2 linked regions of the Struthio camelus genome follow. The protein of the gene in region 2 interacts with the protein of the main gene of each other region in a pairwise test. Links are inferred from orthologs where the notes say so. Each region holds a gene or a part of one and is shown on either strand. Other genes may lie near its edges.

Region 1 (8,007 bases), on a different chromosome or scaffold from region 2:
AATAGCCTCCCCATGCAGATTAAAAATTATATGTATATATATACACATCTCTCTCAGATATTCTAGTCTGACACATGACTGAAAAGTGCTAGAAATCAACAGAATTAGTTATTAAGCTAAAATAAAACTTCAGTGATCCTTTTTAAAACAAATAACTGCTTTTACAGATAGGACCTGTAATACAAGGACAATTCACACAAGAATAAAAAAAAGTGCAAGGAATAGATTAGCGTGGCAACTTAACACAATTCTTCTCAGAGGGGGCTGGGAGCCATCCCCAATTCACCCAAACATCAACCCTAGTAACCCCCATCCACCCCACACTCAGTCATACCAAGAGCTGAGTAACTCTACATGTGTCACGAGCCTCATCTTAAAACAAACCTAGAAAGAGAGGGTCAGGGGTACCCAAAGACTAGCTTCAAAACACACCATTCCTCCTTTCTGGCATGGACTTCTGCCCGTCTAGTCATGCTAACCCTAGATCTATCTAGTACCACAAGAAAGAATTCAGCTACCTTAACTCAGTCTAGTAGGTAACTACCAGGTAGTTTCCTCAAGTAAATCTGTCAATTATTTTTCTTCACCAGCTGCGGCTGGGATCTAGGTTTCAAACTGAACATTGATGCAGAAACTGAACCTCTGTATTATGAGAGTTGAGAATAGCAAGCGGCAACGAAGCTGAAGTCTGTATATATGCAAATACTGTTTTAATTAATATGAAGGTATGAATCAAATTTCACTGCAGAATTCCCATGAACAGTACAACATCCAAGTCCGTTTGTTTGCATTCTGCATGCTCTAGCCCCTGGCTGCAAAAAAACACGTGCCAGCAGTGTGCGTTACACTTGGAGATTATTTCCGAGTCACGTTTCTACATAGCCGTGAAAAGCTGTCACCCAGCGCTTACCTCTGTCATCCACAATGAGCTTGTCCATGCCCCTGGGTCCTAGGGTAGTGCGCACAGCTTCTGCGATAACCTGGCAGGCATTGATGTTACTGACGAGCTGGGGGATCCCCTGTGAGGTGTCCGTGCCCTCCTTCAGCAGGATAACGGGTGTTGGCTGAAGAGACAAACCACAGCAGAGCTGTAACTCCAATCTCAGACAGCCCAGTGCTAACTCTGCAGGCAGCCCAGCAAGTTATCGCTGCTCAAAAAGGTATTTTTCCCCTATGCAAGAAACTAGCTGCACAACAGCTCTCTCACTCCCAAGACCAAAAACTGCAGTTCCCTCAAAGGCCTGGTGGCAAAAATAAAACAAAAAAAATCCCAATCCCTAAGCATCTTGCTTTACTGAGCTTATTGACCCGCCTAGAGCTTCAAAGTAAGACTGTGACTACAAAAAAACCTGAGAGAGAGAAGGCCACAAACTGCCACTGTTACACAAAGCAATTCCTCTAAAAGTTTACTTCCACGTTCTCAAGCATTCCGTGTTTGTTTGAAGTTTTATCTTGACTGAACTCCTGTAGCTTCAAAGAAATGTACTAGAGCACTTTTCCATGAAAGGCTGAAGGTTCAACTTTACCTAGAAAGCATTACGGATGCAGTCAAACCGCTCCAAGGCAAGGTGTCACTTGCTTCTATAAAGTAACTGGAATCTACCCAACTGCTTCTGTTTGTATGCCCTTGGACTGTATTGTAACTGTCCACAAAACAAGCGGGCTTCTTTCCCCATCATATAGCTCAGAGAAGGTCTAATTTCTGTGCTACGCTTGATCTCTACACCATAAGAGACAGTATGTGTAATAATTACTGAGGCAGCAGGGAACTGCACAAGCTACAACCCAGATGAGTTACTTAAGTCTCCTAAGATGTACAGCACAACAGGCGCAAGAGCTCTCAGATCACAGTCCAAGCTACCCCAAGGATGGCAACTGCTGCAACGCACCTCCCTGCTCGCAGAGGAAACAGGGGGGATGAACACAAGTGACTGCACCTGCCTGACAGTAAACTGAACTGGACACAGCTTAGAAATACAAGCAAAGCCTACAAGATTTCAAAGGCCACGGCAAACAGCTCTTTGCTGTGCTCCAAGAGCGCAGCAGCCCTTTTCAGGATTTCTAGGAAACGGACTAAACGTGCCTTAAAGACAAAGCTCAAAATCCACACGAACCAGAAGCTTCTTCGGCGCTCAGTTTTAAAGAGCCATCTGCAGCAGAGAGCAAAACCGTACGATGACCGTTGTGCTAAAGAGCAACAAGACCGGAGCCGAGGGCCTGACGGGCGAGCGGAAGACGGGCGCGAGCACCGCAGCCAGAGCTACCTAAGCCTTGGCAAGCTCCCGAACAGAAATCTAAAGGGAACAGAGTCGATTGCATCCTAGGGAAAATCAGGTTAGAGGCAGACACGCAACCCTCGTGGAGCAGCACCGGCAGGGCACAGGCAGGACTCAGCACGGACCGGGGCAGCACCGGGTCCCTCCACGCCCCGAAGCGGGCTGCCGAGCTCAGGCCCCGACTTGAGGCCCCGGGGCGCCACGTACCGCCCGCTCCGGCCTACAACTCCCAGCATGGGCCGCTCTGAGCCCCGACCCCAGCCCGGTGGGCTCGGCTCCGGGCCCCAGGGCCGGGACACCACCCTTGTACACGCGCCGACAGACTACAGCTCCCGGCCTGCCCCGCGCGCCCCGCTCCCTTTCAGCCGCGGCGCTCGCCGCGCAAAGCCTGATGGGAGCGGTAGTCCCGCGGCAGCCCGGCGGCAACCGCGGGCCACTCACGGGCCCGGCTGGTCCCCTCACAAGACAGCGGCGGGGCCGCCCTCACCGGGGGCTGAACCCGCGCCGGCCCCGTTACTAACCCCCGCCAGCAACGGCCCCCGGGGGCGGAGGAGGCCGCTGCCAGGCAGAGGATGGCGGCGGATGAGGCGGGCGCCACTCACCATCATCTCGGCGGCTCTCCCCCGGCGCAGCCAGGCCCTGCTCCCACAATGCCCCGCGCCCGCCCAGAAGCTTCCCGAGGGCGGGAGGGGAAGAGAGCGTTGCTAGGTAACCGCTTCCGGCCGCACTCCATGGTGAGGCCGTAGACAGAGCCGCCCGAGCGAGGCTCCCTTCCTTCGCGAGAAACCATAGAGAGGCAGCAACGTGCGGCGGCGCGGCGGCCCGCAGCTCACTAGATGGCAGGGGCGGGATTGACGGCGGCGTTGGCCAATGGGCGCGCGCGGCGCGGGGGGGCGCCGCCAATGGGCGCGGCGCGGAGGCGGGGGCGGGGGAGCGGCGCGGCGCGGCGCGGGGCGCAGCCATGCTCCGCCGCTCGCTCTGGCTCTGCCTCTGCCTCTGCTCCTGCCCGGCCCGCGGTGAGTCCGGCCCGCGGTCGCTTCCCCCCGCGCCGCCCGTCCGCCTGCCCTGCGCCCGGGTGCATTTCCCTCTCGGGCACCCTTATCCGGGTGCCTTTCCCCTCCGTGCATCCCGGTCTGGGTGCCTTTCCCCTTGTGCATCCCAATCTGGGTGCATTTCCTCTCCGTGCATCCCGGTCTGGGTGCATTTCCCCTTGTGCATCCCAATCTGGGTGCATTTCCTCTCCGTGCATCCCGGTCTGGGTGCATTTCCCCTTGTGCATCCCAATCTGGGTGCATTTCCCCTCCGTGCATCCCGGTCTGGGTGCCTTTCCCCTTGTGCATCCCAATCTGGGTGCATTTCCTCTCCGTGCATCCCGGTCTGGGTGCCTTTCCCCTTGTGCATCCCAATCTGGGTGCATTTTCCCTCCGTGCATCCCGGTCTGGGTGCATTTCCCTTCCCAGCACCTTCGATCTGGGTGCATTTCCCCCTGGAACACCCCAATCTAGGTGCATTTCCCCTCCATGCATCTCGATCCGGGTGCATTTCCTCTTGATGCACTTCGATCCGGGTGCATTTCTTCTTGATGCACTTCGATCCGGGTGCATTTCCCCTTGGGCATCCTGAACTGGATGCATTTCCCCACTGTGCGTCCCTGTCTCCGTGCATTTCTCCTCCTGGCACCTCCTTCCGGGGGCATTTCCCCTCCATGCATCCAAGTCCGGATGCATTTTCCCCTCCTGACAACTCGATCCAGGTCCATCTTCCCTTGAGGCATCCTAATTTGGATGCATTTCCATTCCATGCATCCCAGTCTGGGTGCATTTCCCCTCCATGCACCCAGGTTCAGGTGCATTTCTCCTCCTGACACCTCGATCCGGGTGCATTTCCCCTCTGTTCTCCCCAGTCCAGGTGCATTTCACCCCTAGCCCCTCCATGATCCGAGTGCATTTTCTCCCTTTCCCCTCCGTGCACCCCGATCCAGGTGCATTTATCCTTGGGACATCCCACACTGGGTGCATTTGCCCTTGAGGCACTTGGGTCCGGGTGCATTTCACCTACCCAGCGCCGTGATCAAATGCACTTCACTCCTGTCCCCTAGGAGATCCGGGTTCATTTCCCCTTTTTGTGCACCCCAGTCTGCATGCATTTCCCCCGTCTCCTCTGTGCACTCCGTTTCTCCTCCCAGCACCTCGATCCGGTATATTTTCCCTTGGGGCACCCCAACCCGGATGCTTTTCCTTGCATGCTCAGGACAGAGCCGCTGGAGGCAGGAAGGCAGCTGGCTCCGGGGTAAGAGGCTGCGGGGAGGCAGCAGAGTCCCCTCGCTCTGCCCTCCGCCAGCAACGCCCCAGCGCCCTTTGCAGGTGTTCGCACGGCCCCGAGGGGCTGCTGGCCCTAAAGCATTCGCTGCCTGGCCCCGACTTTGCATCCTGCCCGAATGTCTCATTTCTTGTGCATCGGCTGCCCAAACAGCGCAGGAGGTCGTGGGCCATCGGCCGAGCTATCCGCCTGCGCGGCGAGGCTTTGCATTTTTTTATCACATAAAATCTTCTTTCCTTATAGAGGGAAATTGAGGCAGGGAGCTGTCTGAATTGCCGGCGGTTTACAGAAGGGGGAAACCCCACGTGAGAGAGGCCCAGGGCGCTGGGTGTCGGGACCAAGCAGTGGTTTAAGATGGGAAAAGGCCCCGGCACGACGCACCCAGCTCCGACAGCAGTGGTTCGGGTCCTCCTCCCGCCGTGGAGCCCGGCACGCAGCCGGCGTTACGCAAGGCTGCAGAGGGAGGTCTCGTGTCGCGCTCGACCCGCAGCAGTGGGCGTTGAGCCGGGTGCCTGGATGAAAGCGTGCCGGGAACTCCCGAAACAATTTCGGTTCCCCGCGGCACTCAGGGCCTTCTGCAGTTCGCAAGCGCTGGTTGTGCAGCAGCTGCAGCCCTGGTGCCAAGGGTCCTTCCCCGGCGCTGCATCTCCGGGCCTGCAAACCGGTGTGAAAATGGGTTAAAAAAAGAGGGTCCCCGGGATGAACCACATCTCAAGGCTGTGACTGCGCGTTCGGCTTGAAATCTCACGGGAGGAGTTTGCCGTTGCCGTTTCTTTGCCTCTCATCTCTCTCCGTGCACGCGCAGGTTTACGCATCCATGAATACTTGTATTTCCAAGTGCTGAGTCCCGGAGACATCCGCTACATCTTCACTGCCACTCCGGCCAAGGATTTTGGGGGAGTGTTTGTAAGTATAAGGACCGGATTTGTCTCGGAGCCCCCCCGTCCCTACATTTCTGCGCTGCGGGGCTGGCTGATGTGAAGCCCTTTACCGAAGTGGAGCTGATTGCACGGGCTTCCTCCGAGAGCTTTGCCCTAGGCAGGAGGCACGCGCCCGTCTCTGCCGTTAGAGGTGCTCCCGTTCGATCTGGGCCATGCGAACGCGTTTCTGCCTCCGCACGCGTTCCCTGGGAGCGTTCGTACGTACGGATGCGTGTCCGCACACGCGTGCGCTCCCGGAGCCCTAAGGGCTCCCCGTCTCCTGCCAAGGGGCTGCCCCAATCCGGGGCAAAGCCCGGGGCTGGGCATCGAGAGCCTCTATCGCCGTTCCCTGCCTCGCACAACTCACCGGATGGTGCCGTGCCGCAGTTTCCCCTCCCCACGGTGATGGGGGCGAGCTATTGAGCGAGGTCTGCGGGTTCCCCTCGGGTGGCTCTGCGGGGTCCCACGGCACATCCCGCGCGGGGACGGGAACAGCAGCTCCCCGGGGGCCCCGAGGACAGGCGCCGCGGGGCTCGCGATGGGAAGCAGCCCCGGCGCCGTGCCGCCGGCCTCCTCGCTCACCCCTGCCTGTCTCTTCCTCGGAGAACACAAGGTACGACCAGATCCACCTGGTCCCGGCGGATCCGCCCGAAGCCTGTGGGGAGCTGAATAATGGGGTCTTCATCCAAGACCAGATCGCCTTGGTGGAGCGGGGGTAGGTCCGGCGCCGCGGGACCTCTTTGGGTGGGGGGCACCCAGGGCAGGAGGGGGCTGCCTGCGGCACGGAGGGTGACGGTGCCACGGTTGTGTTAGCAGCCACGTTTTACCGTCGCCTCCAGCTGCTTCCCCGGGTTGCAAAGCTGTCCCGACAGTCTTTTGGAAAAGAGCCTACGCCAAGCTGGAAAAAGCCTTATTTTGGGGGAGAAAGCAGCCCACCAGCACAGTTTGGGCAGTCCTGTTGCTAAAATCCGGTCTCAAGGATGAAAAGGGCTTGGGGGACGCGCGGTGCCGGGGAGCCAGCCCGCGTCTTGGGCGTCTCCGGGCAAGCTCCGGCACTTGCTGTCTGAGAGGTGCCCGGCTCCCACGTCTGTAGACAACGTTTGTGGCTCTGTGCCCCAGGGGCTGCTCGTTCCTGTCGAAGACGCGCGTGATCCAGGAGCACGGAGGACGGGCGGTGATTATCGCCGATAACGCCTACGATAACGACAGCTTCTATATCGAAATGATCCAGGACAGCACCAGGCGCACAGCGGACATCCCCGCGCTCTTCCTGCTGGGCAGGGACGGGTGGGTATCGTGGCCGAGGGACGTGTCTTCGGGCACGGCGCTGCGGAGGTAGGCGCACGTGGGTTCAGCGGGTTTTAGCCGGCCGGCCGCGAACCTGCTGCGGTGTCCAGGTAGCTGCGTTAGCTCCGTGCGTGCCACAGCTCTCTTAGGAGGCTGGAGGCATCTGGGCTGGCATGAGGCTGGTTCTGAGAGCAGATCTGGTTTGGATGGCCTACCTGCGACCGGCAGGTCTCCGTGCCACCCCGGACGCTGTGCAGCGTTTTCCTGGTGTACATCAGCCTTTCCAAGAGACAGCCTTGCCTTTTGAGATCCAGTTCTGGTCACCCAATGCTCTGATCTTCCCAAGTGTAGAGCATCTCGTGGGAAGGGCCAAGTGACAGCCTTGTCCCCATGAACCAGAGGGGTCCCAGTGAGCCGTGTGTCCTGTCTGGGCTTTGTGAGCCAGATTTTCCATGGATTCAGTCATGCTTAATCCACGGAGTTTCTCCTCGAGTTTATTGGCAGCTTGCGTTAACCCATAACGTTCAGGCTCTGCTCTCCCAGCTCAGGGGCTCACATGCGCCTGTCACCTCTCTGTCCTTCCAGGTACATGATCCGGCGCTCCCTGGAACAGCATGGGCTCCCATGGGCTGTCATCTCCATCCCCGTCAACGTCACCAGCATCCCGACGTATGAAATGATGCAGCCCCCCTGGACCTTCTGGTAGCAGCGGGAGGCCACGGAGCATCGCGGACTTCTCGGTGGATCCCAGGAGCTCGCCCCAGGGACCGGTTTTGAGGAAAGAGCCCCATGCGCTCCCAAAAATCCTGCCGCCAGCCTCGCCGGATCCAGCAGCGGGCAGATCTTCACGCTGCCGCTGGTGTCTGGCCAAATGGCAAATGTCAGCGCCCGCAGCGGGACCTGGACGGTGGCATCGAACAACCTTTGTAGTGACTTTCTGGGAGGGAGGTGATGGCCCAGAGCAGAGAATCAGGCCAGCACTTCCCCGAGAAACATTTTTGTGATGCATACGATGCCAGCAGTAGTTTGTGCTGTCAATTTAGAGCGATGCAGTATTATGTGGACACAGTCTAACGGGGATGGGAGGGAGAGCTAGTTATGGGGTCAGTCTGTACTAGCAGGGCTTGCCCAGCGTCTGTATATTTTTGTCTGAGCTAACAAAGTCTAAAGAGGTTTTAGAGAAAAGGGAATTTCTCTTTCTTCAG
Region 2 (7,134 bases):
GGGCAGAAGCGAACTCGCGCGAGCGAAGCAGAGCCCCGAGAGAAGTTGGGTCCGCGCAGTTCCTCACCTTGTTTTCCTCCTGGGGCAGAGCTGCCGTAAATGGCCTCTTGCCAGGGCTCCCCCGGCCATTCCTAGGCGCCCGCAGCTCCGGCTCTGCTCCGGGGCCTTCCTCGCAGCCTGCTCTCCCTCTTCCTCCCCCCCTCACCGCCCGCGGAGCCCGGCTGCCTATCTGCGTGGCCCCGACCCGGCACTGCGATCCGGGGCTGTGGTGGGAGGTGGCTGCGCTCCCCGGGGAGCTGAGAGGCTGCTGCGCAACGGCGCAGCTGGCAGCTCTTCCCTCTAAAGCCTTCCGCTTCCCCGGCTCGTGGCCATCCGCCGGGAGGCCGGGGATGGGCTCTCCCCATCGAGGTCAGGCGTGGGAAGCCCCGGGAAGCTGCTCTCAGCGTCCGAGCGAGGCAGATGAGCCCAGTCAGTCCCACAGCCCCCCCGCGGGATGTGGAACGGGTTGAGTTTATTCGCTCCCTTCCCAAGAGCCTTTTTCCGACGCTGTTTCCCAGGCCAGCCCGTCTCCAGGGGCCGAGCCCGGCTTCATGCCGCCTCCGGGTCCGGTTCCCTCTGGCTCCACGTCCCCTTGCGGGTCGCGAGCGGCGCGGGGTGTCCGAGCGCGCTGCCCGGCGCCACGCGGCTGCGTCCACGGGCGCAGAGGCGGGCGGTATCCAGAGCCTCCGTCCCTCGCGGGCGGTCCGGGGCCGCCCGGCTCCGCCGGGAGAGCGGTAACCGCCGGCGCAGGTTTGGGCCCGGATTCGGAGCAGGCGCGCGGCGGCGAGCCGGGTCCGGGATTGCCCGGGCCCTGGCGGCGCCGCACGGAGGAGCGGCGCGGGGCGGCCGCCGGTCGGGCTCCCCTCACCCGGGGCAGTAGGTTCAGACGTCTCGCTGGGTTCTTGCTCTTCTGTGAATCTCTTGGTTTCCCTATGTGGCCTCAGTTAATTATAGCAACCCTTCTTGCGTCTGTTTCTTAAAGGCAAGCGGATGCGCGTGCAGTTGTCCACGAGTCGGCTCAGGACCGCGCCCGGGATGGGAGACAAGAGCGGCTGCTACCGGTGCGGGAAGGAAGGGCACTGGTCTAAAGAGTGTCCGGTAGATCGCCCGGGGCAAGTGGCTGACTTTACCGAGGCCTATAATGAGCAGTACGGAGCGGTGCGCACTCCCTACCCCGCGGGCTATGGGGAGACCATGTATTACGATGACGGGTATGGCGGAATGGTCGACTACTACAAGCGCTACCGCGTGAGGTCCTATGCGACGGCCTCTGCATACGACGCCTATGCAGAGCAGACCATGGCCCAGTACTCGCAGTACGCGCAGTACTCCCAAGTGCAGTCCACGGCCATGGCCGCCACCACAGCCATGGCCAGTCGCATCCCCACCACCCTAGACGCGTACGATAGAGCTCTGCTGCCGACCCCGGGAGCGGCAGCCGCCGTGGCCGCCGCCGCCACCGCGGCCGCGGCGGCCGCCTCCTCCACCTATTACACCCGGGATAGAAGCCCCCTGCGCCGCACGGCAGCCGCGGCCACCACCGTCGGAGAGGCGTACACTTACGATCGTAGTCAGCTGTCGCCGGTCTCGTCGGTCGCTCGGGCCTCCCTCTACGACATGCAGCGGTTCGAGCGGGACCCGTACGCGGACAGGGCGCGGTACTCTGCGTTTTGAGTCGGAGGTGAGAGCGTTGTGGGTTGCAGGAGGCGCGCGGGCGCGCGCTGCGGGCGGTCGGGGCCGCCCCGGCGCCAGCTCGGGGGTCGCGCGTGCGAGCGCGCGAGGGGCCGCCGCTCACCCAGCTCCCAAAGCGAGCGGCGGCGGCGGCGGCAGGAGCCTGGCGACTCCCGGCCCATTCTCCGCGGCGTTCGCCGCCGCGCGGGGCCGAGCCCCGGCCGGGCGCTGGGGATGGGGGGTTTCTCGAGCCCGGCGGTCGCTCCCTGCCCTCCCGCCCCAGCTCCGCAGCTCAGCTAGAAACCGAGGCGGCGCGGCGGGGCCGGAGCAGCCTCCGCGCGGGGCGGCGCGGCCGGGGCGCCTTCCTGCGGCCGCTGCGGGGCCCGTCCCGGCTCCTCTTTGCGACGCCGCCCTCTCCCGAGGCCGCTGCGGCGCCGTAGCCCGACTCCCCGCCCCGAAACGGGCCGCCGCGCTCCCATCTGCCTCCCCGGCACGCCGGCTGGGCAACTCGGCCGCAGAGGGCACGTCCTCCTCCTCTTCCTCCTCCCCCCGACCCCGAGCCCCCCGGCTCTGCCGCTGCAACGCAGCAGCCCTCGCTGGAGCCTTACACCCGCTGCCGGTCTCTTCCTCCGTGCTGGAACAGCCGCGCTGCCTGCCCCGGCCCCACGCTCGGCCCCGTAGCCCGGTTGTAATAGGCCTTAATCTCCCAGGATGTGACCCCAAAGAGGAAGAAGCTTGGCAGGAAAATCCCTCCCCGAGGAAGCGGCTCTGGGCTTTCCCCGTACGCTAGGAATGGCAGAGACTTTTGCCGCGGCATTGGAGAGCGGCACCCAACGGCCCTCGGAGGCTTGGCGGAGCTCTCGTTCTGGTCCGTAGCCGCAGCGGACGGTGCAGCGTCAGGTTAGACGTGCCCCGGGCCGCCGCCGCCGCCGCGGGTCTCGCCTCGCACAGAAACAGCTCCTCTCCCTCGCCCCCCCCCCCCCCCAAAACCCCAAAACCTCGCGCTCGACCGCGGCGCGCGGCCCCCTCCGGCCCAGCGGGGAGCGGGGGGGGAAAAAGGCGGGCGCGAAGCCGGCGGCCAACGCCAGCCCCTGCGGCATGGCCCCCCCCCCCCAACCCCGGCGGTTGGGGGCTGAAAGCCCCCCCCCCCCCAACGCGCCCGTACGGCTCGGGGTCGAGCCGCCGCTGCCGCCCCGCAGGAACCAGGGCGGAGAGCGGCGCCCGGCTGGGGGGCTGTGGCCCCCCGCCCCCTTCCTCCTCCTCCTCCTCCTCCTCCTCCCCCCACCTCCTCCCGCCAGCCCCTGACCCTCTGCTGTGCTTTCTTCCAGGTCGCGTGCGCCGGGGCGGAAGCGTTCGGCCGGACCCCCCCGCACCCGCTCGCCCGCCCGCCCGCCCACCCGCCGCGGGCTCCGGGGCGCCGCCGCCCTGTGCTTTTTTTTTTGTTGTTTGTTTTTTACGGAGGTTCCCGCGTCTCGGTCCCGCTGCGGCACCCCCCCCCCCCAAATCTCTTCCCCCAGCCCCTAATTTAACTCCCACCCCGGCGCCCCGCCGGCCCCGCCGCGGGCTCGCTGTCTTCCAGGTAACTCGCCCCCGCGGGGCTGTCTGCCGCCGCTGCCCCCCCCCATCCAACCCCCCCCCGTAGATGCTGTGTCCTTTACAGCCTCCCCCCCCCCCCCAGCTTCCCCCCCCCACCCCTTCGGCTTTTCCAGCAAAAATAAAACGTTTCCCACGGACGCGCTTGGTCCCCTCTTGCTTGGTGGGGAGGGGGTGTTTGGGGGGGGGGAACCCCTCTGTGCCTGGGTGCTGGGGGGGCAATAAGGGGAGGGGATCGGTGGGTCTTGGGGGGGGCTCTCCTAGATGCCTCAGTCCCCTGGGAGGGGCTGTTAGGTGAAGGGGGAGGGTCCTGGCTGCTGGAGTATTTGGGGAGAGGGGGCTCCTAGCTGCCTAGGTCCCCTGAGAGGGGTAGTGAGGGGGGGCCTGGATGCTGGGGTTTTTTGGGGGGGAGAGGGGGGCTCCTAGCTGCCTAGGTCCCCTGAGAGGGGTAGTGGGGGGGGGCCTGGATGCTGGGGTATTTGGGGGGGGGGCTCCTAGCTGCCTAGGTCCCCTGAGAGGGGTAGTGAGGGGGGGGCTGGATGCTGGGGTATTTGGGGGGGGGGCTCCTAACTGCCTAGGTCCCCTGAGAGGGGTAGTGAGGGGGGGGCTGGATGCTGGGGTATTTGGGGGGGGGGCTCTCCTAGCTGCCTTGGTCCCCTGGGAGGGCTAGTGGGGGGGCTCTCCTGGATGCCTGTGTCCCCTGAGAGGGGGTTTGGGGGGGGTCTTAGCTCCCAGCAGCACCGGTTACTTCTCCTCTTGCGGGGGGGGGGGGGGGAACGGACCGGACGTCTCGGTCCCCCGGGGCCGGGGGGAACCATTTCACGACCGGACCTGCCCGCCGGGGCCGCTTTCCCGGCCGGACCCGTGCGGTGACGTCACTTCCGGCGGGGAGCGGAACATGGCGCTGAACGCGGGTGCGGGCGGCGGCGGCGGGCCCCCCCCCCCCCCCCGGGCCCCTAGAGCGGCCGTGGAGCCCCCGCGGGTGCCCGTGTCCCTCCCCCCGGGGCCCGTGGGGCCCCCTCACAGCCAGCCCCTGCCGGGACGGGGGTCTCCCAGCGCCTCGGCGCCCCCGCCGTGACCGTGGCGCCCCCCCCGCGTGACCGTCCGCGCCATTAAAGCGTCCCCATCCCCCCGCGACCGCATCCCCCGTGACCAGACCCCCCTCGTGGCCGTGTCCCCCCCCGCAACGGTCCCTCCTCGCCCCCACCCGTGGCCGCCTGCCCCCATGGCCACGTCCCACGCGTGACCGCGTCCCTGTGTGCCCCGGTGACCGTGTTCCCCCCGACGGTGTCCCCGTGCCCCCCGTGACCGCGCCCTGCCTTTGACCGTGTCCCCACGGCCCCCTGCGTCCTCACCACCACCCGTGATTGCATCCCTCGTGACCAGACCCCCAGTGGTCGTGTCCCCCCCAACGGTCCCTCTTCACCCCCCCGTGGCCGCGTCCCACTCGTGATCGCCTCCCAGTGTCCCCCGGTGACTGTGCTCCCCCCCATGGTGTCCCCGTGCCCCCCATGACTGTGTCCCACCTGTGACTGCGCCCCCGCGTCCAGCCCCCCCACCCGCAACCGCGTCCCCCGTGACAGCGTTCCCCCCCCCGTGGCCGTGTCCCCACAGGGGCGTCGGAGCCCGAGTGGGAGCCGCCGCCGGAGGCCGAGCGGAAGGTGCTGGCGGCGCGGCGGGAGCGGCAGGAGCGCATCAGCCACGCCATGGGGGAGTACCTGCTGCGGGGGTACCGCATGCTGGGGCAGTGCTGCCCGGACTGCGGGGTACGGGGGGGCCGGGGGGGGCACCGGGGGTGTGGGGGGGCACTGAGGGGTCCGGGGGGGCACCAGGGGGGTCACACACACTCCCCGCTGCCCCCCGGCCCGTCCTGCTGTGGGGGTACTGCATGCTGGGGCAGTGCTGCCCGGACTGCGGGGTACGGGGGGGGCCGGGGGGGGCACCGGGGGGGGTCACACACACTCCTCGCTGCCCCCCGGCCCATCCTGCTGTGGGGGTACTGCATGCTGGGGCAGTGCTGCCCGGACTGTGGGGTCTGGGGGGGGCACCGGGGGGTCCGGGGGGGGCACTGAGGGGTCCGGGGGGGCACCGGGGGGGTCACACACGCTCCCTGCTGCCCCCCGGCCCGTCCTGCCTTGGGGGTACCGCATGCTGGGGCAGTGCTGCCCGGACTGCGGGGTACGGGGAGCACCGAGGGGTCCGGGGGGGACACCAGGGGGGCTGGGGGGGCACCGGGGGGCCCGCATGCACTCACCCCCCCCCCCCAGACCATCCTGCTGCAGAACAAGCAGCAGCAGCTCTACTGCGTGGCCTGCCAGGAGCTGGACTCCGACGTGGACAAGGACGACCCCGGTACGGACGGGGACGGGGGTCCGGGGCTGGGGACGGGAATTGGGGACTGGGGACAGGGGTCTGGGACCGGGGAGGGGGGCAGGAAGTGGGGGCTGGGGGTCTAGGACTGGGGTTGGGGACTGGGGATAGGAATTGGGGACGGGGATCCAGGGATGGGAACCGGGACGGGAGTCTGGAGGTGGGGGCTGGGGACGGGAATTGGGGAGAGGAGATGGGAATTGGGGAGAGGGGAGAGGAATTGGGGAAAGGGGATGGAGGTTTAGGGCTAGGGGCTGGAGATGGGAACTGGGGAGAGGAATTGGGGAGAGGGGATGGGGGCTTAGGGCTGGGGGGGGCTGGGGACTGGATTTGGGGTTGGGGACAAGAACTGGGGAAGGGGCCGGAGGTCTGGGGATGGGGAAGGGGGGCAGGACTTGGGGCCAGGGCTGCACTTGGGGACGGGAATTGGCGACTGGGATGTGGGAACGGGGCCGGGGGAATCCAGAGGGGTTGGGGGGGATCCGGAGGGCTTGGGGGGAATCTGGAGGGGTTGGAGGGGATCCAGAGGGCTTGGGGGGGATCCGGAGGGGTTGAGGGGAATCCGGAGGGGTTGGGGGGGAATCCAGAGGGCTTGGGGGGAATCCGGAGGGGTTGGAGAGGAATCCGGAGGGCTTGGGGGGGATCCGGAGGGGTTGGGGGGGAATCCGGAGGGGTTGAGGGGAATCCGGAGGGGTTGGAGAGGAATCCAGAGGCCTTGGGGGGGATCCGGAGGGGTTGGAGGGGAATCTGGAGGGCTTGGGGGGGATCCGGAGGGGTTGGGGGGAATCCGGAGGGGTTGGAGAGGAATCCGGAGGGGTTGGGGGGGATCCGGAGGGGTTGGAGGGGAATCTGGAGGGCTTGGGGGGGATCCGGAGGGGTTGGGGGGAATCCGGAGGGGTTGGAGAGGAATCCGGAGGGCTTGGGGGGGATCCGGAGGGGTTGGAGGGGAATCCGGAGGGCTTGGGGGGGATCTGGAGGGGTTGAGGGGGATCCGGAGGGGTTGGGGGGGGATCCGGAGGGGTTGGGGGGGATCCGGAGGGGTTGGAGGGGAATCCGGAGGGGTTGGGGGGAATCCGGAGGGGTTGGAGGGGAATCCGGAGGGGTTGAGGGGGAATCCAGAGGGGTTGAGGGGGATCCGGAGGGCTTGGGGGGGATCTGGAGGGGTTGAGGGGGATCCGGAGGGGTTGGAGGGGATCCGGAGGGGTTGGAGGGGAATCTGGAGGCCTTGGGGGGGATGCGGAGGGGTTGAGGGGGATCCGGCCCCGCTGACGCCGGCACCCCGCAGCGCTCAACGCCCAGGCCGCCCTCTCGCAGGCCCGCGAGCACCGGCGGGCCGGGGCGGCCCCGGGACCCCCGGCGGCGGGGCCGGCGGCGCGGCGGCCCGAGCGCTGCGAGGGGGCGGCCCCCCCCGAGGCGGCGGCGGCGCCGGGGGCCGAGGTGGCGGCGGCGCCGGGGGCCGAG

What was found.
Region 1: the proteins of ZNRD2 (region 2) and CCT7 interact in binary tests that used the Homo sapiens proteins (3 or more experiments, as listed by UniProt). The two-hybrid records come from large-scale screens. The link is inferred for Struthio camelus from reciprocal best matches to the Homo sapiens genes ZNRD2 and CCT7.

The regions. Positions count from the first base shown.
Region 1 is NC_090945.1:85,476,987-85,484,993, forward strand, and holds the start of CCT7 (T-complex protein 1 subunit eta), read right to left. Parts: upstream 3,003-8,007; 5' UTR 2,885-3,002; coding exon 2,879-2,884; intron 1,065-2,878; coding exon 911-1,064; intron 1-910. Other genes in the region: PRADC1 (protease-associated domain-containing protein 1), read left to right, coding at 3,238-3,292, 5,401-5,501, 6,121-6,230, 6,635-6,802, 7,388-7,508. UniProt on the Homo sapiens protein: Component of the chaperonin-containing T-complex (TRiC), a molecular chaperone complex that assists the folding of actin, tubulin and other proteins upon ATP hydrolysis.
Region 2 is NC_090976.1:385,639-392,772, reverse strand, and holds the start of ZNRD2 (protein ZNRD2), read left to right. Parts: upstream 1-4,134; 5' UTR 4,135-4,201; coding exon 4,202-4,217; intron 4,218-4,917; coding exon 4,918-5,069; intron 5,070-5,570; coding exon 5,571-5,655; intron 5,656-6,958; coding exon 6,959-7,134. Other genes in the region: RNA-binding protein 4B, read left to right, coding at 1,022-1,713. UniProt on the Homo sapiens protein: Might play a role in mitosis. Antigenic molecule. Could be a centromere-associated protein. May induce anti-centromere antibodies.